Linked DNA regions of Lonchura striata. The protein of the gene in region 1 purifies or fractionates together with the protein of each later gene. This does not show direct contact. Links are inferred from orthologs where the notes say so. Each region holds a gene or a part of one and is shown on either strand. Other genes may lie near its edges.

The links.
Region 2: the proteins of EGFR (region 1) and RBM10 purify together in Homo sapiens (affinity purification with mass spectrometry, with the first as the bait; 3 studies listed by BioGRID). This does not show direct contact. The link is inferred for Lonchura striata from reciprocal best matches to the Homo sapiens genes EGFR and RBM10.
Region 3: the proteins of EGFR (region 1) and HEATR3 purify together in Homo sapiens (affinity purification with mass spectrometry; 3 studies listed by BioGRID and IntAct, with this or other methods). This does not show direct contact. The link is inferred for Lonchura striata from reciprocal best matches to the Homo sapiens genes EGFR and HEATR3.

The regions. Positions count from the first base shown.
Region 1 is NC_134603.1:105,542,322-105,549,960, forward strand, and holds the start of EGFR (epidermal growth factor receptor), read right to left. Parts: upstream 3,016-7,639; 5' UTR 2,646-3,015; coding exon 2,540-2,645; intron 1-2,539. UniProt on the Homo sapiens protein: Receptor tyrosine kinase binding ligands of the EGF family and activating several signaling cascades to convert extracellular cues into appropriate cellular responses.
Region 2 is NC_134638.1:897,516-904,936, reverse strand, and holds the start of RBM10 (RNA-binding protein 10), read right to left. Parts: upstream 3,008-7,421; 5' UTR 2,944-3,007; intron 2,148-2,943; 5' UTR 2,137-2,147; coding exon 2,120-2,136; intron 1,117-2,119; coding exon 960-1,116; intron 233-959; coding exon 38-232; intron 1-37. Other genes in the region: NDUFB11 (NADH dehydrogenase [ubiquinone] 1 beta subcomplex subunit 11, mitochondrial), read left to right, coding at 3,278-3,430, 4,036-4,166, 4,686-4,809. UniProt on the Homo sapiens protein: Binds to ssRNA containing the consensus sequence 5'-AGGUAA-3'. May be involved in post-transcriptional processing, most probably in mRNA splicing. Binds to RNA homopolymers, with a preference for poly(G) and poly(U) and little for poly(A).
Region 3 is NC_134615.1:11,208,717-11,216,088, reverse strand, and holds the start of HEATR3 (HEAT repeat-containing protein 3), read right to left. Parts: upstream 3,008-7,372; coding exon 2,885-3,007; intron 1,522-2,884; coding exon 1,349-1,521; intron 831-1,348; coding exon 743-830; intron 1-742. Other genes in the region: CNEP1R1 (nuclear envelope phosphatase-regulatory subunit 1), read right to left, coding at 4,621-4,662, 4,915-4,969, 5,106-5,215, 5,548-5,621, 6,926-6,997. UniProt on the Homo sapiens protein: Plays a role in ribosome biogenesis and in nuclear import of the 60S ribosomal protein L5/large ribosomal subunit protein uL18 (RPL5). Required for proper erythrocyte maturation.

The DNA of each region.
Region 1 (7,639 bases):
TACAGAAAGCTACCACAGTCCACCCTGGCAGCTCCCGAGCCGCCTGGCACGCCTGTATGCACACTCCCGACACGGAGCTGCACACTCCCATCCCACAATGTCTGCAGCTACAGATCAAAACTAGAGATATAAAACCAGTATATAGCAACAAAAAGCAATTTGCTGGACCGTAGCACTGTCACCGAGCGCTGTCACACAAAGGACACGGGTCAAATGCAGCCAGCATAAGTGGCATGCCAGCTATCACAGGTATTTATCTCAGGTACCACAATGCAGGCCTCCCGGGATATATCAGTGGAAATCCAGATTAATTCTGCTTCACATAATATGGGTCAACATCAGAGCAGGTATATAGAGGTGGGTATTGATCCCTGTGCTGAGAGTACTTCACTTTTGAGCAATGCTGTTTGGTTCTGGAATATGTTCAACTAGGCTTCTGTTTGTATCTTAATGACTACAGTGTTACAACAAAAACAGGTTTCTCTCATCCATCTTCAAGAACATTAATTCTACAATTTTGGGAGAAGACACAATTGTATTTAAATTTCCATTCAAACATTATGTTGATTGGATTTTATAGGCTGATTCTGATGTTCTTCTAACAGCTGCCCAGGCATCTTTTTTTTTTTCAAGACATGTCATTTTGGTAATAGAACAAATCAGGTCAAAGTTTTAAGAAGTGTCTTTTCACATGAGATTTGAACTTGCAGAAGTGTTCCATATATTTATGACAGCAAGTTTCCTTTCAGCATTTTTCTGAAATCTGATGCTAGGTCTTATCATTTGACCAAGGAGGCAGTCCCAAGCATACACTGATCCTCTACTACCTGCTGGACCTGTTGCTTCAAATCAGTAACACTCAATTCTCAGATGCTGCTTCATTTTGTGCCTCTGAATAATTTTCTTGCTTATCTTCAACTGTGGGGAGAAACTAATAACTCAAATCAATTGATTAATGCTTTCTGAAGAAATCTTCTGCTTCCACCTCTGCCACTGAGCATCCAGCTCAGTTCCTCTGGTAGAGGACCCAGTTACTTGCGGACACAACATCCTGAGAATAACCTCTATTGGATTTATCATGTAGCCGTTGATGATTTAGTAATCCTCAAAAAACTGGCAACCTCCTAAGTTTATGAGACACAGAATTAAACATTATAAACAAGGTATTTCTCCTCACTCTTAATATATTATACAGGGCATGTGCACCTGAGAATGCATCTCAAAAGACAGGCAGAGCAGATGGGAGGCACTTTACTTCTCACCAGCTTCAAAGAGTGAGGAAAAATAAATAAATAAAAAGAAAACCAGGAAAGAAAACTGCCCATGTTACATCTACAACAGGTATGAACTTGATTTCTGGAACAAGAGAATCTTTCCACTTTTTAAAAGTTGTGCAACTAGTTCTTTTGGATGGGGTGTTCCTCACTTTCAGGGTGGCTTTACCATTCACAGTCACAAAAGACTCTTAAGTTGCTCTAAGCCATGCAGTGGCTTCTAGAAACTAATAGTTCTCCCGCTTTTTCTTTAAAAAGAATGAAAGGAAAAAGAAGAAAAACCAAACCACCCAAATCTGCATTTTTTCCTCTGGCTGGCAGATTTCCAAGATAAAGAGGACTGCTCTCCGGCTGGAACAGCAGCCGGGGCCTGCTCTCCAAACTTAGAAAAGAGAACACCACACACAGAGAAAATGCGACGGGTCTGACCAGCCAGAAACGGCTTCTCATCCTCTGAGACAGCTTCTCCACTGAAGAAGGAAAACCCAAGCACCCGCGGCAGCCCCACGCCCCTGCCCCACAGCCAGCCCCGCCGAGCTGTTCCCACGCACCGCCGGCACGGGCGGGCAGCGCCGGGGCTGGCAGCGCCGGCAGCCTCGGGACGGGACGGGACGGAGGGATTAATCCCTCCTCTTTCTGATAACCAGAACCCACACAAAGTTTCCCTTTTTTTCAGTCACCTCCTCCCCAGGTGTATACTTTTTTCTATTATCACTATGACTATTTCTGAACAGGACAAGCGGAGGTGTCCGGGTCAGTGCGACAGCGGGTTACCGGAGCGGCGCTTACTCGGGAACCCCGCGGCTTTTCCTCGCCGCCCCGGTGCAAGGGAGCCGAGAGCGGCTGTGCTGGGCTGAGCCGGGAAGTGCTCTCCGGGGAGTGACTGGGAAACGTGGGAAGGGGGAAAGAAGAAAAAAGAAACACTAAAGAAGCACAACCGATGAGATGTGCCAAGGCTTATTCCCTTTTATTTCCTCCACCCCCACAAAAGAAAATAAACCAAGAATCAGGAAGTCAGGGCTGCGTGATCGCTGCTATAGGTTTAGTCTTCTCCCCGTTTCTCCCCTCTCTCTGTTTTTGGGGTGGGTTTTTTGTTTTGATTTGTTTTTTTTCTTAGGGAAATAAGTAGTTGGGACTTTCCCTCCGCCTCTCCCCACGGGAGGCCGCGGAACGCAGCCGCCCGCAGCGCCGGCTCTCTGGTCCCCCAGTACGCAGCTAGCAAAGGGCGGCGGGACCCCGCTGCCCTCTTCCCCCCGGCCCCCTACCTTTCTTTCCCTCCACGGCAAGGCAGAGAGCGAGGCGCCCCAGCAGCAGCACCAGGACAGCGGCGCCGCGGGGCCCGGCGGCAGCGAGGGGGCTGCGGCCGCCCATGCTGCGGGACCGCCGCTCCCTCGGCGCAGTGGCTGCGGGTCGGACGGGACGGGCGCACGGATGGTTCCGCGGAGCCGCTCCTGCTCCCCTCTGCTCTTCTCCCGCGGCAGCGATCAGCTCCTCTCCGGCGCTCTGCCCTGCGCGGCTCCGAGCAGCATGCTGGAGGGCGGCCGTCGAGGTCTGCGCGCACACGTGCGTGCCCCGCTGCGGACGGGCTGCTGCCTTCCTCCTCCTTCTCCTCCTCCTCCTCCTCCTCCCACCTCTGCTCCTCCTGCTACAGGCGGCGGCCGGTGCACAAGGGCTTGCGGAGCGGCTGGAGCCGGCTGTGGGACGGGGTGCGCCCGGCTGCGCTCTCCACTCGGTCGCGGAGCGCAGGGGCTCCCTCTGGGGACGCCAAGGAGGAGGAGGATTGGGAGGGAGCAAGGAGGAGAGGGGAGGAGAGACCGGCAGCGCCGGCCCCGTCGAGGTGGAGAAGAGGCGGGCCCCCCACCTGTCCCGGAATATAGGATGAGAGTAGGTGGAAGCGGGGACGAGACAGTTTAGCCGTTCCTCCTTGCTCGGCAGGGTGTGTATGTGCGGATTTTCTACTTCCCGGCAGTTTCTGCCCGGCAGCTGCCAGAGGCACGAGCGTGCATTTGCGGCACAGCTCGCAAAAAAGCGGAGTGGCGCTAACGCAGCTTCTGCCTTCCCGTGTGCTCCCGCCCGGCAGTCGTGGAGGGGCAGAGGGTTACAGCAGTGCGGGTGTCCCGGGGGAGGTCGCAGCAGGAGCTCTGTCCCGTCCCGTTCCTCAGGGAGAACGGTCCCCCCGCAGCTCCAGTGGGAGCAGTGCGGGCAAGGGAGAGCTGAGGCGCTTTACCGGGAGCAGGGAAGCAGCTCCGGAGGTTCGATCCACTCCCCAGGGGCGCATCTCCGGGGCTCCGGCCCCATTTCTGCCCCCCGAGATCAGCGGAGCCCACTTGGCCTCTGCGAACAGTCCTGCTCTCGTTCAGGTCATTTTACTCCCAATACTTGTAAGGCCAAGTGTGTGCGTGGAATAAAACAGCTCAGTTTTAATGCGAATTTAGCACAGGGGTAACAGGGTCCCTGTCTGCCCGTACCGCTTCTGTTCCCCGGCCACCAGCACTGAGAAAGTGCTCCTTGCTCCGCGTAGCAAGTTACTTAATAAACACAAAATAACACAAGTGTTCCTGAGGTGCTCCAAGTACATCCACAGACATTAAGCAAAAGAGTATGGTGCTCCTTTCCGTCAAGAGGAAAACCCAAGCTATTCAGGATTCATTAAAATATTCCTATGGTTTTTTAACAGGCTGTTTCTCTGGAAAGTGGGAGGAAACACTGTCTTGTCACTCAGGTATGTAAATAAGACACAGACGTGCCATTTGTCTGGGTTGGAGTTTCTCCGAGTAGATCATGATTCAACACTCAAACCTGCTGAATACCGGTGGTAATTTCTTCTGAGGGCTCTTCTGAGGGCTTAGGTTACACAGTCAATAGGATATGAAGACTTAAAACTGCTGTGATTAAGTGGGAACTCCGGCACTAAAACCAATAATGACATGAGGTTCGGGAAATTCCGTGCTAAATGTCTGTGTCTGTCACAGGGTACTGGAGCACAATAGATTGCAAAATAGTCACTGAGTGTACCTTGACTTTTCTCTGTTATGCATGTTTCTTTGAGAGATCCATCACCCTTCTCCTACCACTCAAATTCTTCTGAAAAATCTTTTTTTTTTTTTTTCTGATACTTTAACTAGCCGCTCTCCTAACTAGGCATAGAAAACTACCATCCCATTTACACATCCTAGCACATGCCTGGCCACATGCCTTTAATCGTTTACTAAGATGAGTTGCATTACAAGACTGCTTTCACATTCTGTAACTGACATTCTGGTTCAATTATATTTTGTAAATAATGTGGAAGGTGTACTTTGAAGTAAACTCACACATTAACAACATCCGAGAAGCTCTATTCATGTGATTGGTTTCATGGCTGTAACTGAGGGCAGAACCTTAGCTTACAATGCAATATTAGTACAAATTTATTTCAAAGATTCTCACACAGTGCAACTTCATATACACTATGTGTATGTGGTTCTTTTTCATTTATTTAGACAAATAGGAGGATCTTTAAAAGTGAGAGAAACCTAGGAAAAAGAGATCAACTTCTAGGGAGGGAAGATTTGCAGAGCATCCTCAGCACACACTAATGATTACAGCTTGCCTTATGATAAAGGAAATGCAATTAAGACAAGCAAGAAATTGACTTCAAATCAGTTCTGCAGGTAAGTTAAAAAGTGCCCCTAGACATGCACACTGGGTATCAAGCTACCAATATAGAAGGTAATAGGGTTTTTTTAATTTAGAGAAAGAGAGGATTCAAAGTGACAAATGAAAACCAAACTAAACATAGGGAAAAAAGAAAACATTTTTGCATGTGAATTCAGTGGATAAACTGGTCCAAATCCTGTCCTAACATGTTGAGGAACAAACACTTGTTTTGCAGAATTTTTGTTATTCTACTTGATATACTGGGCAGGAACATTTCATACTTGCTTCACCCTCCATCATGTACTGCCCTTACACAAACACACATAAATTCAAGTATTCGATACTAACTAAACACCTCCTTCATTGCTGACATGGTGAGCAAGGAGAGACTAGGCAAATGCCCCTTTAAATCTTTTTCCCAGGCTTCAGATACCCACTACAGGAGACTCTCATCTGCTGCTGGCAGTGCAGTACTGCAGAAGGGGCTGCACAGCAAGCTGCTGTAAATTCTGTCCTCCCACCTTTGTGAGCACAAATGTGTTACTTTTGAGGCATTGTACTCTGCTTGACAAGGTCACAAGACACATAAAGGAACTCTAAGACTAAAGTTTGAGAAGCTTATCACAGGCAGGAATTTCAGGCCTTTTTTACCAACTGAGCAATTTCTGAAATGGTTTAAATTCAAACATGACATTTTCCCTAAACAGCTGGTCACATACCCAGTGACTGCCTTTGGTGTAATTCCTCTGAAGCAAACATGAATTTTACCAAGGGCATTCAATATTCATGTTGCAAAATTTTATTGCTGGCTGCATGTGTGCATGGATCAAAGGTTATGGAACAAAGGCCAACCTTTTGATCACCAATTTTTCAATTGACAGTTCATAATGAAAATACTAAATGCAACATCTGTCTTCAGCTTTCTTTTGATTTGCTTGCTTTATAGTATGTGTGTGTATATATATGTATCATGTCTTCTATATATTAAGCATAAACATGCTGACCTGTGAAGTGAAGATGGTGTAATCTGGTAATTTTTCCACATGAACATGCTTCTGGATTGCAAAATTTGACTCACCGCCACTTGCCTGCTCCACTGAGCTGGTTACTTTGCCACACATGGAGAGAAGTAGCTGCAAGAGGATGAATAACTGATTTCCCTATCAGTGGAAAAAGCAGGATTAATTCTTCTATCCCTTCCACATTTCCTCCAAACAAAATAGAGTTTCAAAACCCTCTCAAGAGTTAAAAAATCCCTGCTGCTGGATCCTTTCCTTACATGAAAAAAAAAAAAAGGTTGCTTTTCATTATCCACCAAGAGTGGGTCAGCATTTGCCCCGCAAAAAAATTAATCAGCAACCATTTCTCAATGGTGATGCTGTTCTTCTCTGTAAATAAGTGGTGAAAGTGGTTTTAAAGTCAGGCCTTTTACTGAGAGACAAGAAATGGAGACAAATTAGCGGAGTTTTACAATCTGGTTTGCTCAGATTTTGCATGTTGTTTGAGATTGTTGACATTGTATTTTGCATTGTAGTTTGTATTCTATGAGTGCTCACTCAGGTTTTAAAGCAAGGGCTGAGATAAAAATTCATAGACCTTTATGGCACTTTGCATGTTGAAAATATTGCACACACATTAAGTAATTTATCTTTGCAAATCTCCTGTAAAGCAGGTTAGTACCTATCATTTCCATTTTATAGATGTAAAATAATTTGCCTTGGGCGGAGCTTTAGTGGTAGAGCTAGGGTTATCACTCAAGAGCTCTATTTAAACCTTGGATCATGCTATTTCTGAAGAGTGTCCCCGATGAAAATAGATGGATTTTTACACAGATTATCTTTCTCTCCTCGCTTAACACTATTTACAGAATCACAGAATATGCTGAGTTGGATGGAATGCATCAGGATCATTGATTCTAACTCCTGGCCTTGCACAGGACACCCCAAGAGTCACACCATGTGCCTGAGAGTGTTATCCAAAAACTACTTGAACTGTGTCAGGCTTGGGGCTGTGACCACTTCCCTGGGGAGCCTGTTCAGTGCCCAACCACCCTCTGGGGGTAAAACCCCAAACCTTCCCTGACACAACTCCAAGCCAGTCCCTCAGGTCCTGACATTGGTCACCACTGGTCACCACAAAGAAGAATCAGTCTCTGCCCCTCCTCTTCTTTTCATGAGGAGATTTTAGCTGCAGTGAGGTCTCCCCTCAGTCTCCTCAAGGCTGGACAGACTAAATGACCTCAGCTGCTCCTCATACAGCTTCCCCTCATGGCCTTTTACCATCTTTGTTGCCTTCCTTTGGCTGCTCTCTAATAGCTTTGTATCTTTCTTACACTGTGCTATCCAAAACCACCCCCAGCCCTCGAGGTGAGGCGATCCCAGTGCAGAGCAGAGGAGACAATCCCCTCCCTTGCCCAGCTGGTGATGCTGTGCCTGATGCACCCAGGACAGGCTTGGCCCTCCTGGCTGCCATGGCACTGCTGACTCACATTCAACTTTCTGTCAACCAGGACCCCCAGACCCTTTTCCATGGCGCTGCTTCCAGCATCTCATTCACCAATCTGTCCTACATCCCGAGTTGCCTCATCCCATATGCAGAATCCAGCAGTTTCTTTGGTTTTTTGTTTGTTTGTATAACAGAACTTAAAAAGGACAACACCAACAAACGCATCAGTGTTGAAATTAAACCTTCATCACAATAAATTGCATATCAATTGCATATAGTCA
Region 2 (7,421 bases), on another chromosome or scaffold:
CGAAAGGGGCGTGGCCAGCCCCAGGGGCGGGGCTCACGTCGTTCTCGGTGGCCGCCTGCGGCAGCATGCGCAGCATGACGATGGTGCTGGCCCGCGGCTCCTCCTCGGCGCCCTCCCGGTAATCCTGGTCCCGGTAATCGCCGTCGGCGCCGAACGGCAGCGCCGGCGGCTCCCGGGGAGGCTCCCGCGCCGGCTCCCGCTTCCGCGGCGGCTCCGTGGTCTCGTAGGACGCCTGGCACAGGGGAGGGAGGGCGATGGTGAGGGCCCTGCTCACTGGAAATTTCGCTTTTTCTCTACTAATAAATACTTAGTTAAAGCGCCTTTCACTGAATGTTTCACTTTTTTTGTATTAACAAATACTAACTCCCAAAAACACAGGGTCTAATCTAAACCTGTAAAACAAACTACCATTATTAAATAGTAAAGTTAAAATTATATAAGTAAAACGTAAATAAAACTCTGCAATATTGCACAGCAAAAAGCTTTACCTTAACTGTTTTAAAATACAGTAATAAACAAGTAACTTTTAAAACAAAAGCTAATTTTTCTTCATCATTTTGGCTGTTAGTTAATGTTTTAATGTCAAACAAAAAAGTGCACGTTGTAAACTACAATTAGCTAATTAAGGACTTGAAATTTAAAAAATTCAAGTATTCTTCCTTAATTGTAAAGCTTATCTTAAAAACACCTTATGAAAATTCCTTTTATTACATTATGCTAGAATTACACGCGTTTTTGTGTATTTTATTATTTTAATCTTATTATTTTTGATTTGCTATGTGTTATATTTATGCACTTATTATGTTTTCCGTTCAATTCAGTAAAACATCGTTACGGTTACAAAACTATAACGTAAGTAAACGCCAAGAAACATTTAAATCCCAACAAAAAGCGCCATCCCACGCATTTAACCGAAACTCTAACGCTAAAATAAAGCTCAGCAGGGTCCCAGCACCCACCTGGGGGGGGGTCCCGGCGGCGGGCGGCCCCTCGGGGGGTCCCCCGTAGCCACGGTAGTCCATGTCGCGATAGTCGTGGTCCCGCTGGGCGCGGGAGCCGTCCTCGGAGGGGGCCGGGGCGCCCCCGTAACGCCCCGTGCGGTCCCCGCGGCCGCCCCTGCGAGGGGCGAGGTCAGCGCTGCTGCCCAGACCTCGGAGGGACCCCCCGAAGCCGCACCCCGAATCCTGGACGGCAAATCTGGACCCCGAATCGGCACCCCGAATCCTGGACGGCAAATCTGGACCCCAAATCCTGGACAGCAAATCCTGACCCCGAATCCGCACCCCAAATCCTGGACAGCAAATCTGGACCCCAAATCGGCACCCCGAATACTGGACAGCAAATCTGGACCCCAAATCCTGGACGGCAAATCTGAACCCTGAATCCTGGACAGCAAATCTGAACCCCAAATCCTGGACGGCAAATCCGGACCCCAAATCCGCACCCCAAATCCTGGACAGCAAATCTGGACCCCGAATCCTGGACAGCAAATCCTGACCCCGAATCCGCACCCCAAATCCTGAACACCAAATCTGGACCCCAAATCCTGGACAGCAAATCCTGACCCCCGAATCTGCACCCCAAATCCTGGACCCCAAATCTGCAGAACAAATCGTGGACACCAAATCTGCACCTCAAATCTGGACCCCAAATCTCCAGAAAAAATCTTGAACCTCAAATTCTGGACCCCAAATCCTGGACCCCAAATCCTGGACACCAAATTCTGACCCCAAATATGTATAACAAATCCTGGATCCTAAATCTGGACACCAAATCCTGCACTCCAAATCCTGGACACCAAATCCTGCACCCCAAATCTGGACCCCTAATCCAGACCCCAAATACTGACCCAAATCTGCACAATGAATCCTGAACCCCCCAATGGTTCCTTCCACCCTCTGGGGTCCCCAAAGTCCCCTCTGCCCTCAGGGGTCCCCAAATGTCCCCTCACCCCCCCCAGGGCATCCCCAAATACCCCCTGAGGTGCCCCCAAATGTCCCCTCCCTCCCCAGTGTCACCTCCCCAAAATATTCCATTTAATTTCACGGGGAGTCCTCAAGAGCTGCCCAATGTTCCCCCCAGATCCCGAATTTTGGGGATCCCCAGGTTCCCCCCTCACCTGCGCTCGTACTCCATGGTGCCAGCACCTGGGAGGGCAGAAACTGGTTGGACTGGGAGGAACTGGGCGGTTACTGGGATGGACTGGGTTCAGTGGGAACAGAATGGAATGAACTGGGATGGACTGGGAGGAACTGGGCAGTTACTGGGATGGACTGGGATCAATGGGAGCAGAATGGAATGAACTGGGATGGACTGGGAGGAACTGGGCAGTTACTGGGATGGACTGGGATCAATGGGAACAGAACAGAATGAACTGGGATGGACTGGGAGGAACTGGGCGGTTACTGGGATGGACTGGGATCAATGGGAACAGAACGGAATGAACTGGGATGGACTGGGAGGAACTGGGATGGACTGGGAGGAACGACTGGAAAATTTTGTGGCAAACTGGAAAGGCCAGAAGGGGAACAAGGGGGAAATGGACATTGAACTGGGATGAACTGGGAGCCACTGGGACCTGTGCAGGGGAGCACGAGCAGACACGACCACCCTCACACCCCGCCCTAATTAACATAAAGCCACACCTAATTAACACACAACCCACCACCCCTAATTAGCATGCAAACACTCCCTAATTAACATACAACGCGCCACCCCTAATTAGCATATAAATATACCCCTCAATTAACATGCAACGCACCACCCCCTAATTAGCATTAAAATACCAGCCCCGGGTCCCGCTCTCACACCCCCCTCCCTCACAAACGGCACCGGGAGTCCCGGTCAGCCCCGCCCCTCCCGGTCAGCCCCGCCCCTCCCCGCAGGCTCCTCCCGTCCCAGCCGGGCCCGTCCCGCCCCTCACGCCCCTCACGCCGTCCCGACCTTCCCGGGCGCCGCCACCGCCGCCGCTGCCCAGCGCCAAAATGGCGGCGCCGCTCCCGCTCGGCCGGGCCCGTCCCGCGCGCCCGCCCTCGCCGCGCTCCCATTGGTTAGTCCTCCCGCCACTCCGAAAACGCCGCGTTTTTATTGGTCCGCGCTGTAGAGGGGGCGGTGCAGCGCTACGACTGGCGCGGCCACGGCGAGGAAGTAGGCGGGCCAAAGGAGGTGCAGCGCTGTGATTGGCTGCGCCGCGCGGGGGCGGGGCGGAGCGCCAATGCGAGGCGGCGATTGGCCGGATTGAGGGGGAGGAAGGGGCGAGGCGGAGCGGCGGGGGAAGATGGCGGCGCTGTGGCGGGCGCTGCGGGCGCTGCGGGCGCTGCCCGCCGGGGCTCGGGGCCGCTCGGCGGGATCGCCCGGGGCTGTGGCGCTGCCGCGGCCGCTCGGGGCCGAGGCGCACGAGGAGGAGCCGATGCTGGTGGCGCAGAGGAAGGTGAGAGGCCAAGGGCAAAGCGACAGCGGCGGGGCGGGGGTTGTGTGGGGACGGTGGGGGCGTGGTCAGGGGCGGGGCTTCTGTAAAGAAAAAATGGCGGATGTTGGAGGGGCGTGGTTTAAATCTTGTGGGCGGAGCTTTTGGTGGGTGGGGAGGTGTTGGTGCGGGGCTTTATGGGCGGGGCCTGTTTTGGGGAGGGGTTTAAGTGTGCTCAGGTGAATGCAGGGCTGTAAAGGGGCGTGGTCAGGGCTGTGGTGTGGGAGGGGGACACACCTGGGGGTCCAGGGGGAGGGGGTGGGACACACCTTGGGGTCCAAGGGGAGGGGGTGGGACACACCTTGGGGTGGGGTTTGGGTTCAGGTGGCTCCTGTGGCCCTGAGGAGGGGGTGGAACACACCTGGGGGTCCAGGGGGAGGGGGTGGGACACACCTTGGGGTCCAAGGGGAGGGGGTGGGACACACCTTGGGGTGGGGTTTGGGTTCAGGTGGCTCCTCTGGCCCTGAGGAGGGGGTGGAACACACCTGGGGGTCCAGGGGGAGGGGGTGGGACACACCTGGGGGTGCCTGGGTGGGGCAGGGGGCTCACAGGACCCTCCCCCCACACAGAACCCCGACTATCATGGCTTCTCGGCCGACCCCGATGCCGACGTGCTGAACATGCGCGCCGCCTTCGTGGCCGGCATCTCCATCGCCATCGTCCTGGGCTCCGTCTTCGTGCATTACCTGCCCGACTATGGGTCTGTGATCGGGGGGTTCTCACCTGGGAAACCCCCCCACGGTGAAGAGGGGGAGAGGGGCAGCCCCAAGGGGAGATTGTGGGGAAGCTGTGGAGGGGCTCTTAACTAAATTTTTGGGTTTTTTTGGGGTGTCTTTGGGTGCTGGAGGGTCTCCTGAGAGTGCTGTAGGAGCTCGCAAGGGAATTTGGGGGCCCACAAGACCCCCCCCTGTGCATCCTATGGGGATCTCCATTAATTTTTTGGGGGTCTGTAGGGCCCTGGGCAGCTCTGAGGGTGTGTATAGGAGCCCATGGTGGATCTGGGAGAGGATTTAGGGGGCTACAGAGCCCTGGGGGGGCTATAGGAGGCTGAGGGGGCTTAGGGTGGACTCTGGGGGGTTGTATGGGATCTATAGGGGTATCCCAGGGTCCATCCCAGGCCCCTTGAGGAGGGAGGAATTTGGACACCTGGCAGGGGCTTTGGGATGTCCCCATGGATCCCCAAGGTGTGGGGCTCACCTGTCCACCCCCTCCCCCACAGGCTGCAGAAGTGGGCGCGGCGCGAGGCCGAGATCCAGGTGCGGGAGCGGGAGCGCCGGGGGCTGCCCCTGCTCACCTCCAACTACTACGACCCCAAGCGCCTCCCCCTGCCCCCCCTGGAGTGACCCCAGACCCCGGTGTTGGTTTGTGAATAAAGTTCTGGATCCCCCCCTGACTCCTGCGCCTTTTATTTTGGGGGGAAGAACAAGAAACTACATCTCCCATCGGCCCCTGCGGCCCAGTGACGTCTCCAGGCAACGACGCCGCGGGATTGGTGCTCTGGTCCCGCGGCCATTTCCGCGTGCTCATCAGACTGCATTTCCCAGCGGCCCTTTCGGCTCTCTGACGTCACCAGGCCGCGACACCATGCGGAAATGGCGCCCTGATCCCCATGGCCCCTCCCATGAGCCCCTGGAGCTCCCCACAGCCCCTGTGAGCCCCCCATGGCCCCCTACAGCCACCAAGCCCCGCATAAGCGGCCAGTGAGCCCCTCTGGGGCCCTGGAGACCCCCGAGGCTCCCCACGCTCCCCCTGGGCTGCACTAGACCCCCTTTGGTGCCCCATAGCCCGCTCAAATCCTCCCCAAGCCCCTGTGTGTAGCCGCCTGTGGCTCTGAGGGCCCCCGTTAGGTTTCTATAGGTTCCTGCGTTACCTCGGAGACCTTGATTTAAATTTTTGCATACGGTTCCCCATAGTTGTGCAATTCGGCATGACACTACGTAAAGTTTTCCGCGGTTTCCTGTGGGCTCTTCAAGCGCTCCTACAAGCCTCTGATAGGCCCCTATAAGCCCCCACAAACCTCCTTTGTGTCCCTATAGCCCCCCACGGGCCCCTATGGCTCCCAGACCCCCCCGTACCCCCCGTAGCCCCCCCCACTCCGCCTTTCCAGCCCCTTGTCCCCTCTCGGCCGCCGTCGGGGCGGCGCGCGCCGCGCCGGGTCACGAGGCCCAGCAGGGGGCGTGGCCTTCCCCATCCGGGGCTCTGCGGCAGGAAAAGGGGCGTGGCCAGCCGGGGCGCGCCCGCCCAATCCTCGCGTCGGCTGAGGCGGGGAGGGAGGGGGCGGGCGGTGGCGGGAGGAGACAGCCAATGAGAGCGCGGCGCCGGGCGGCGCTGACCAATGGGAGAGCGCGGAGGGCGGGGCCTCTCGCGCGCAGGGAGGGGGCGGCGGGTGGCAGCGGCCGCGGCCGCCATCTTGTCGCGGAGGAGCCGAGCGGAGCGGGCGGGACCCGGCGGCGGGGCCTGGACAGCGACATTGGTGCGGGGCCGGCGGCGAGCCCGGGGCTCCTCGGGGGCTTCTCCGGCCTGGAGGGGTGCGGGGAGGCGGCCCCGGGGCCGGCTAGTGCGGCCCCGCCTTGGGGGAAGCCGCGCCGGGCCTGAGGGGGCCGTGGGGGGAGCTGTGAGGGGGAACCGCCCCCCCCACACACACACCGGGACCCTCAGGATGGGGAGCGCGGGCCGGGGCTGCGAGCCCCGCTCGGGGACCGCCGGGAATGGGGAACCCCCCCCCGGGTGGGACCCCGGGGATGGGGAACCCCCCAGGAATGGGGAACCCCCGCAAGGGAGGCCCCGAGGGATCGCCCCGGGACGGGACCCCCGGGACCCCCGCGGGCTCCCCGGTGCTGGGAGCGCTCTCAGGTGGGGGGGGCGGTGCTGTGCCTGGGTCTGGGGGGTGCTGGGGTGGTCTGATGTCCCCTAGTGCCACCTCGCTGTCCCCAAGTGTCCCTCCCCACCCTTCCGTGTGTCCCTCCATCCCTGCGTGTCGCCCTGTCCGTCCCAGGTGTCGCCGGGGCGGTGACAGCCAATGGGACAGCGCGGGGGTGTCGCACCTGGTGGCCCCGCCCTGACCCCATTCACCTGGTGTCACCCTCTGTGTCCCCATTGTCACCTGGTGTCACCCTCTGTGTCCCCGCTGTCACCTGGTGTCACCCTCTGTGTCCCTGGTGTCACCCTCTGTGTCCCCGCTGTCACCTGGTGTCACCCTCGGTGTCCCCACTGTCACCTGGTGTCACCCTCTGTGTTCCCGCTGTCACCTGGTGTCACCCTTGGTGTCCCTGCTGTCACCTGGTGTCACCCTCGGTGTCCCTGGTGTCACTCTCTGTGTCCCCGCTGTCACCTGGTGTCACCCTGCATCACTCTCTCCATCCCTTCGTGTCCCTCAGTGCCACCTCCAGTGTCACCTGGTATCACCTCCACATCATCCCCTGTGCCTGGTGTCACCTCTTGTCACCAGTGTGTCACTGTGTCCTGCTCAGTGCCACCCTCTGTGTCACCCCGGCTGTCGGTGACCTCAGGTCGCCACAGCTGTCACCTCTCGCCCCCAGCATCACCCCATGTCTCTCCCAGTGTCCCCAGCACTGTCCCCGTGTGACTGCCTGTCCCGTGTCCCTGTCCCTAAATGTCCAGCTGGCAGTCCCCAAATGTCCAGTTCCTTGCTGTCCCTGTCCCCAGCTGTCCCCTGACCTGTCCCTGTCCCCAGCTGTCCCCTGGCCTGTCCTTGTCCCCAGATGTCCAGCTTCCCTTTGCCCATGGATGTCCCTGTGTGTCCCCTGACCTGTCCTTGTCTCCTGGTGTCCTCAGCTGTCCCTTGACCTGTCCCTGTCCCCGTGCATCCCCTGACTGTCCCTGTCCCCAACTGTCCCCTGACCTGTCCCTGTCCCCAGCTGTCCCCTGACTGTCCCTGTCCCCGTGCATCCCCTGACTGTCCCTGTCCCCAACTGTCCCCTGACCTGTCCGTGTC
Region 3 (7,372 bases), on another chromosome or scaffold:
GTACTCACTTTGTAGTTAGTATTTGGAATCACTTTCTGATTAAAAAAAATACTTGGGAATTTTAGAACCTGAAGTGCTGTTTCTTGCTAATAGTCTGTATGCCGTTGGCAACAGGTGTTTCTAACCACGAAGATTAACTCAGTTAATACCTTACTGCGCTCTATAGTAATGCTACTACTCATATTTTAAAATGGGGAAGAAACATACAGAAAATTATGATATTGCTCAAGGCTGCTCGTAGAAAGACAGCAGGTAAGAGAAATCAATGCAATATCCAAACTGCAATGCAACACCTGGACCAAATAAAGAATACAAATTCAGTACAGGTTATTCTACAGTAACTTTCCAGCTCTAGATCCAAATACCCATTGAGACAAAATTGCTCACCAAAAAAACATCAGCAGAATAATACCACAACATAAATAAAGGACCTTGATTCTCACTGACAGAACAAACTTGTCTTAACTGACATTACAGACCCAAAACGTCCAAACCTTTCACTCAAAAATTCATCCTAAGCAGAGAACCTCACCGTGGACACAAGTTAGGTGGCCAGAAGCCAGAAGGTAGCGGTCAGAAATCTCTGGAATAACTTTTGTATCACTAAACATATCAAAACATTCTTTTAAAAGATCTTTCAAGTACCTTATTGCAACAACAGCTACAAAAATAGAACTGCTTTTGTACATGGGACAATTAAATACCTATATCAGGTTTAAAATCAAAACAAAAATAAGCACACCTCTTTGAGAAGTACAACCAGGGGTGTCATGATGTCACTTGTCACCATGTCATCACAGACATCAAATCCTCCACAAGCACTCAGATTTCTGGGGAAAACAAAAAATTAGTGTTTTGGATGAGATACAATACCTTCCAAAAACATTTCAAAAACCCCATGCCTTTGATATTCTTCTCTAAACGTTATGGTACTTTTTGTTTTAAACTCAATTTGCTTAAACTGTAGCTTTAGTCTTCTACCTCACTAACGCAAGAGAATAACCTTGCAGTTAAAAAAATTATTTCTATTTATTCATGAAGCATAATTAGAAAGTTTATCTGTACTAAAACATCACGACACAAACTGCACTCAAGTTCTATTTCCTAACAAAGCCATATATTTCTAGCACAAAGCCTGCTCCTGACATTAAAGTCTGCCAGAGCAAGAAAAGCTCCTCTCCCCCACAGACTTCAGCTAATGTAGGCATAGTTCCTCAGGCCAGAATTAAAGCAAGAGAAGCTTTAAGAGAAGAAGGCACTGCAGTTCACAGCTGTCACCAGCAGAACCCCACAGTTTTCCCCTGTGCCATGATCCCCTGATTCCACCTGAGCAGTGGCCAGTGCTTACCGGAGAGCACCTGCAGCAGTCTCCCTGACAGCTAAGCTGGGATCCATCAGCAAGGGCCCCAGACAGCGCACCACGTCCCGCTGCACAAAGGCTGGGATGACGTGCTTCTGCTGCAGCAGCTTGGAAATCCCAGCACAGGCATACTCCCTCACTTCAGCACTTGGGTGCTGCAGCTGCGGAGACACGGACAGGGCACGTCACAGTGAGGGAAAAGGAGCTCAAGGGTTCTCCTGAGTGAAAAGATTGATCAGGGCCAGCACCGTGGTTCCCATTTTACTGCTCCTGAATGGAAGCAGGAACTTTTAACTTCCATGAAAGCTTATAAATCCTTGACTGGGCTATGTGTGTTAACTTTATGACTAGATAAATGCTATTCTGGGTATTTGACAAGATAGCCACAGTCCAGACACAGATTTGACACTAGCTGGCACTGGTGAGACCTCAATTACCATGTATTAAAAAAAAAGACTGAAGTGAGAAGGAAAATATCATCACTGAAGTGTAACAGACATAACACATGCCTCCATAAAGACAAGCTGAAAAAAACAAAAAATATAGCCTTTAAACAAAAAGCATCTGCATAACAGCAAGAAACAAGTGTTCCCTACATTCCTGAAGACAATGTTCACACATGCTGTAACAGTTTAGGTGAGATACAAGAATTACAAATTGCAAAATTAATAACACAGTAGAAGTGCATATCCTGGAAGGCCACGGAGTTTGTTGAAAACCTAGCAGATAAACATCTGCTGAAGAGCAGAACAGAAGAGTGGTAACATCAGATTCTGCCTCCACTGAAAAAGGGGTCTCAGCTCATGCTCATCTGTGCCTTTATTTCTGAAAAAGGGGTCTCAGCTCATGCTCATCTGTGCCTTTATTCTCTCTTCCCATTTCTTTCCTAAACAGGTTAGTCCAAAAGAATAATCAATAAGTGGTGTGTTCAATGAATTAGGTGGGGTGAAGCGAGCAAAGGGGATTTAATTACTTAAAGGCAAACTGATTTTTGCTTCTGATTCTGAAATCACACCTGCGGAAGGAGATTTACATCAGTTTTCACCTGCAATACTTAAGCCAGGACCATGGCCTACAAGTGGCCAAACCAGTCTTTCTCAGCATTTTCTATCCCTTATTCCCTACATGTGGCTCTTGCACACTTGGCTCTATCCACGTGCAGAAGCCTCCGGCCGGGGAGACCGAAGGCGAGCCCCGCAAGAACCGCTCGGCACGCCGCAGGGCGGAGGCGCTGGGAGCGCCCCGCCCCGCCGCCGCAGCGCGGGCGGTGCCGGGGCCGCCCCGCCGGCGCGGCCGTGACGCGGCGGGAGCGACGGCCGGGAGCGGAGCGAGCGAGGGAGGGGCGGCCCCGCTCGGCTCCTTCCCGCCGGGGCCGGGACCGCGCCCGGGGCCTCGCCCGGCACCGGCGCGGGGGAATCCGAGGCCTCGCCCCCGTGCCCGGCCCCGCAGCCCCCGCCGCTGCCCCGGTCCGGAGCGGGGCTCCCGCCGCGCCCGCCCGCGCCCGCCGCCCGGCCCCGCGCGCACCTTCTCCAGCAGCTCCGCCGCCGCCTCCTCCTCCTCGGGGCCGCGCTCGCCGTCGCGCTGCTGCGCGGGGCCGGCGGCGGCTCGGGGCGCCCTGCGGAACCGCCGCGCCCGGCTCTTGCCCATGGCTGCGCTCGGCGCCGGCGCGCCCACGTGTGCGGCCCCGCGCAGGCGCCGCGCCCGCCCCGCCCTGCCGCGGCCGCGCGTCCGACCGACCCCAGCCCGGCACCGAGGGCGGCACCGCGCCTCCTGCGCTCCGAGAAAATTATCGAGAGAAACGATTTCCTCTAAGGGCACTTACAGAGGCGGGATTGACCTGGAGGGTGGAAACCTGGAAGGGGTTTCCTCTCGGGTGTCAGTATCTTAGATTATAAGACCCACATCAAATACAGGAAATGTTGGTCCGGTATGAAAGTTAGAGAGTGCAGCTATAAATTTTCTGAAGTTCTTCTGTGTTCAGTGGAGATCTGTATTTGCACAGTACAAAAGAAGATAACACCTGTTTATACAAAGATTTTATTTTATACACATTTACCTACAAAATATACAGCAGTTAAAAATAATGGATGGGCAGAAGACTTACTGGAAAAAAAATCCAGAAGACAATTCTTAAGTTTCAACTGACAAAGTTACATCAATTACTGCCTTTAAAAGCCAGTCTACCCTGTAGTAGGGGTTACTGAAGTTGCAAGAGCTTTGCAGTTAGAGTCAATTTAAAGAGTTCAAAACATTTTAAAAGGCACCTTGAACAACTTAAACCCTTAAAATTTGCCAGTTTTAGCTACTCAAAAGTTACACTTTATGTGTATATCGTCCACGCCTTGTTGTTAACACTCTGAATAACAAACTTTGTTATTTTATTGTGGCACTCTAGATTTTCTTCACCAAATCTTAAGTTACACATTTGCAATACCAGTTTCGTATTCTGACTATCAGAGCAACAAAACCCACTCAGAATGGTCAGGTGGATTTAGATACAGTACAAACTTACAATTGGGAAGATATAAGCATATTTAAGACAATTAAAAAAAAATTAAAATCTTAAAATAAGTGTTTTGAACCAGATCAAACAAGAAACTACATATGACCACAAGGAAAGTGGCTGGTGCACTATATACACAACTTGACAAATGTAATCCTTGATATATTTGCGAAGTTCTTAAACAGTAAGACCAGTTTTCTCCGGCACAAACAGTCAGTCTTCCTGCGAGCCTTTAAACCAGTTCCAAAAGAGAGACCAGGAGACAAGGACGGCTGCAATGAGGAAGTGTGCTAATAAAACATCAGGAGAATGGCAAACGTTCCTTTCAATACTCTTCATGAGAACAAGAAAATCCATACACCAGATTTTACTTTTTTCCTGAACATTGGCATCAATCTGCTATTTACAATAGCTTAGAAAGACACGTAACACAAATGAGGTTTCATTTTCAAGTTCAACTTCATTGCCAATTAACATACTTCACCTGTATGTTCTGTTCTAGCTGAAGTAAAAAAGTGACACTAATACTGAAAAAGAGGTAATCAGAAGTAGCAAAAGCACTGATAATGTGATAACAAAGAATTTGGATAAATATTCAAGAAAGTAATATTGCACACTTTCACTGTCAACTGTGTTAAGACTTTTACTCCCAGGCAGTGACAACCAGTCCCATTTTAATTTTTTTGCTGTCATACTACCTTAAAAAAGGTCATTTTTGGTTTCCATGGCAGTGGAAAAAAATGAAGGAAGACAGCCCTTATTGAACATGAGGCCTAGGTTTCAAAATTAATTTTCCAGTCTGCAAGACAGAAAAGAAAACAAAGTTTAAACCCTGAATGCTGAACCCAACAATTACACTTCAAGTTCAATGTTACAGTAAGAGTTTAAAACAACACACAAAATGATACTAAGTATTCCACATTCCAGTTTCACAGACACACAGAATTTGCTGAAGAATATACAAGTGCTGTTCAGAAAAACAGACTTTTTGGATTATTTCCTTTTTTTCTTTTAACAAAGAAGGTTTAGGCAATGAAGCACTAACACTTACATCATCACAGGACATATTATATTCTGCCAAAACAGTTCGGCATCGGGCTGCTATACTGTGTGGATTGTGTCAAGGAAAGCAAGTAACACTTGCACACACAGTAAGCAAAAACTAAAAACGCAGTATTAGCACAGGCTCCAACAGGCTGCAGGAACTACACTTTTAACGTGACAAACATTATCAAAGGATACATTGATGGTGCCACCACTCTTTTATGTATTCCAGCAAAGAACAAGCCTATTAGGGTAATACAGCTAATTGTGAAAAATGGGTGATTCCAAAGTGACGTGAAAAATGATACCTAGGAAAGAAATTGGGTTATTCCAACTGCATACTTCCTAAAACACACAGAAAGTTGCTGCCTAGATCCCTTAACTAAAAATAAAATACTGCTCCCTAGCCATTTCCAAGTACTTGTGAACAATTCTTTAGATAAGCATTCAGAGTACAGTATTTTGGCAGGCAATGTCCCAGGACACATTCCACAACAATTCCAGACAGCTTGATAGCTTGACTAAAAATCACCTCCCAGTTTCATGTGAGAATGTGTTCAGCCTTTCAGTTTCCAATACACCACCTGACTGCAGCACCAAGCTATGGAACACAGCACATTAGGCATTAGCCTGACCTTACCTTTTGTGTCTCTGGGTCTATTAACCAGTTCCAAGCCCCAGTTGCTGTGCAGACTGATACCACTATCAAAATCACTGATGAAGAAAAGAATGAGAGTCATAAACAGTATACCTCACTCAAATTTAAATGTATTTATTTTTCAGCAGCAACTCTTAAACATTTATTTCCTTTCTCACTTCTGAGGGAGAAAGAGCTCCTAATTGGAAAGCAAAAATGAAAATATGCAAAGAAACATCTAAATGTGAAACCCTAAGGATTCTGTACAAACTTCCTGGACAGAACAAGTACATCTGAAAAATCTAAATTCTGTCAAGTAAAAACATCCTGATCCTTTAAAGGAACCAGAGTTATCTTTCCAAAAGATTATCAAAAGCATAGAGCTTCTTCTCTATATCATATAAATACTTTCTTTTTAGGATAACAGGAAGAAAAGCTAACATTGGTCACACACCCCATTATAATGAAAAGAGAAAGTCCCTCTTATGTGAATTACAAAACAAGCAATTTGGGGAAAAAACATGAGCCACTGAATACAATACCAGTTATGCAAACCTCATTTAAATATGCTTAAAAGTTTCCAGAATTTTTTTTTTAATTGTAACTGACAGAAAACAGCCATTTTGGAAGCCAAATGCATTCCTAAAGCAGAACTACACATAAATATCTGATTTCCCTGGAACAAGGGGGTTTGAGGTGGTGGTAGTGGTGTTTGGTTTTGCTTTCTAAGTAGTGTCTCTTTCAGTTCCTTCATTCAAAATTGACCTCTCAGGAGAAAACATACTATTTTATGTGTTCTAAAAGAAAGTCTGTATTCTTGGAGTAGAAAAACTTCAGCAGTCTCAAAAACAAAACAAAGTTGTATGTATCCACCACAGACCAGGGATCCCAAAGCTGGCAGCATATCTGTGGAATTTTTTGCCTTCCCCCCTCCTTCAAACCTTCCTGTCAAAACAAAGCTGCCTTTATGGCACACTGCTGTAACTTTTTCACCTTCAATTTTAGAGGGACTATTTCACCTAACCATGTTTAGTTTAAGTAACTACAGCAACAGTCTGGGAAGTCTGAGTCTTGAAGAAAAAAACTTCAGTAACATAATAAAAACCAGATAAAACAGAAACAAACACAACTTACTGTTTCAGGTATTTCCAGAATAATTCAGCCTTGAGCCAATTCAAACTTAACCTAATTTTTTTAACTCTGGCTAAAATATTAGTTTATTATCCTGTATGAACTTGTTGCAGAGTGTTTGAATGTATGCCACAAATTTTAAAGCAAGCCTAAATACAAATTTCTCTTTGGGCAAACTTAAATAAAGGATACACACTGGTAAATCTAACAAGCATGAAAGACTATTTATTCCTTGGAATATCAAACTTACTTCTCCAACGTCCTGTAGCAGGTTGCAAACATGCAATGTATTCAGTAAGTCTTCTTTCAAAAGCTTTGAGATCTGGGGAAGATGTGCATCAAACATAATTAGATCATCTGTTTAGTCATATTTCAAAGTAGAAGATAAAAAGAATTCCCCCATGCACACCCAGTTCTTAAACTGATAGAAAAGCCAATGCAATTATCCTTTATATGCAGCAGAAGTACAGCCATAGTAGCTTTACTCTATTTCAGGTAAGAAATAAGTGGTGGAGTTAATCTAAAAGCCAAAAAACATTCCCACTTACAAAAAGAAAAATCAATACAGTTAAGAAATCACACTATTTTGGGACATCTTCAGAAATAGTGACTTTGATTTATAGTAACTTAAAACGCATCTCAAAACAAAACAAAAAAAAAGTATCACATTTTGAAATACTAACTGTATCAGAAAACC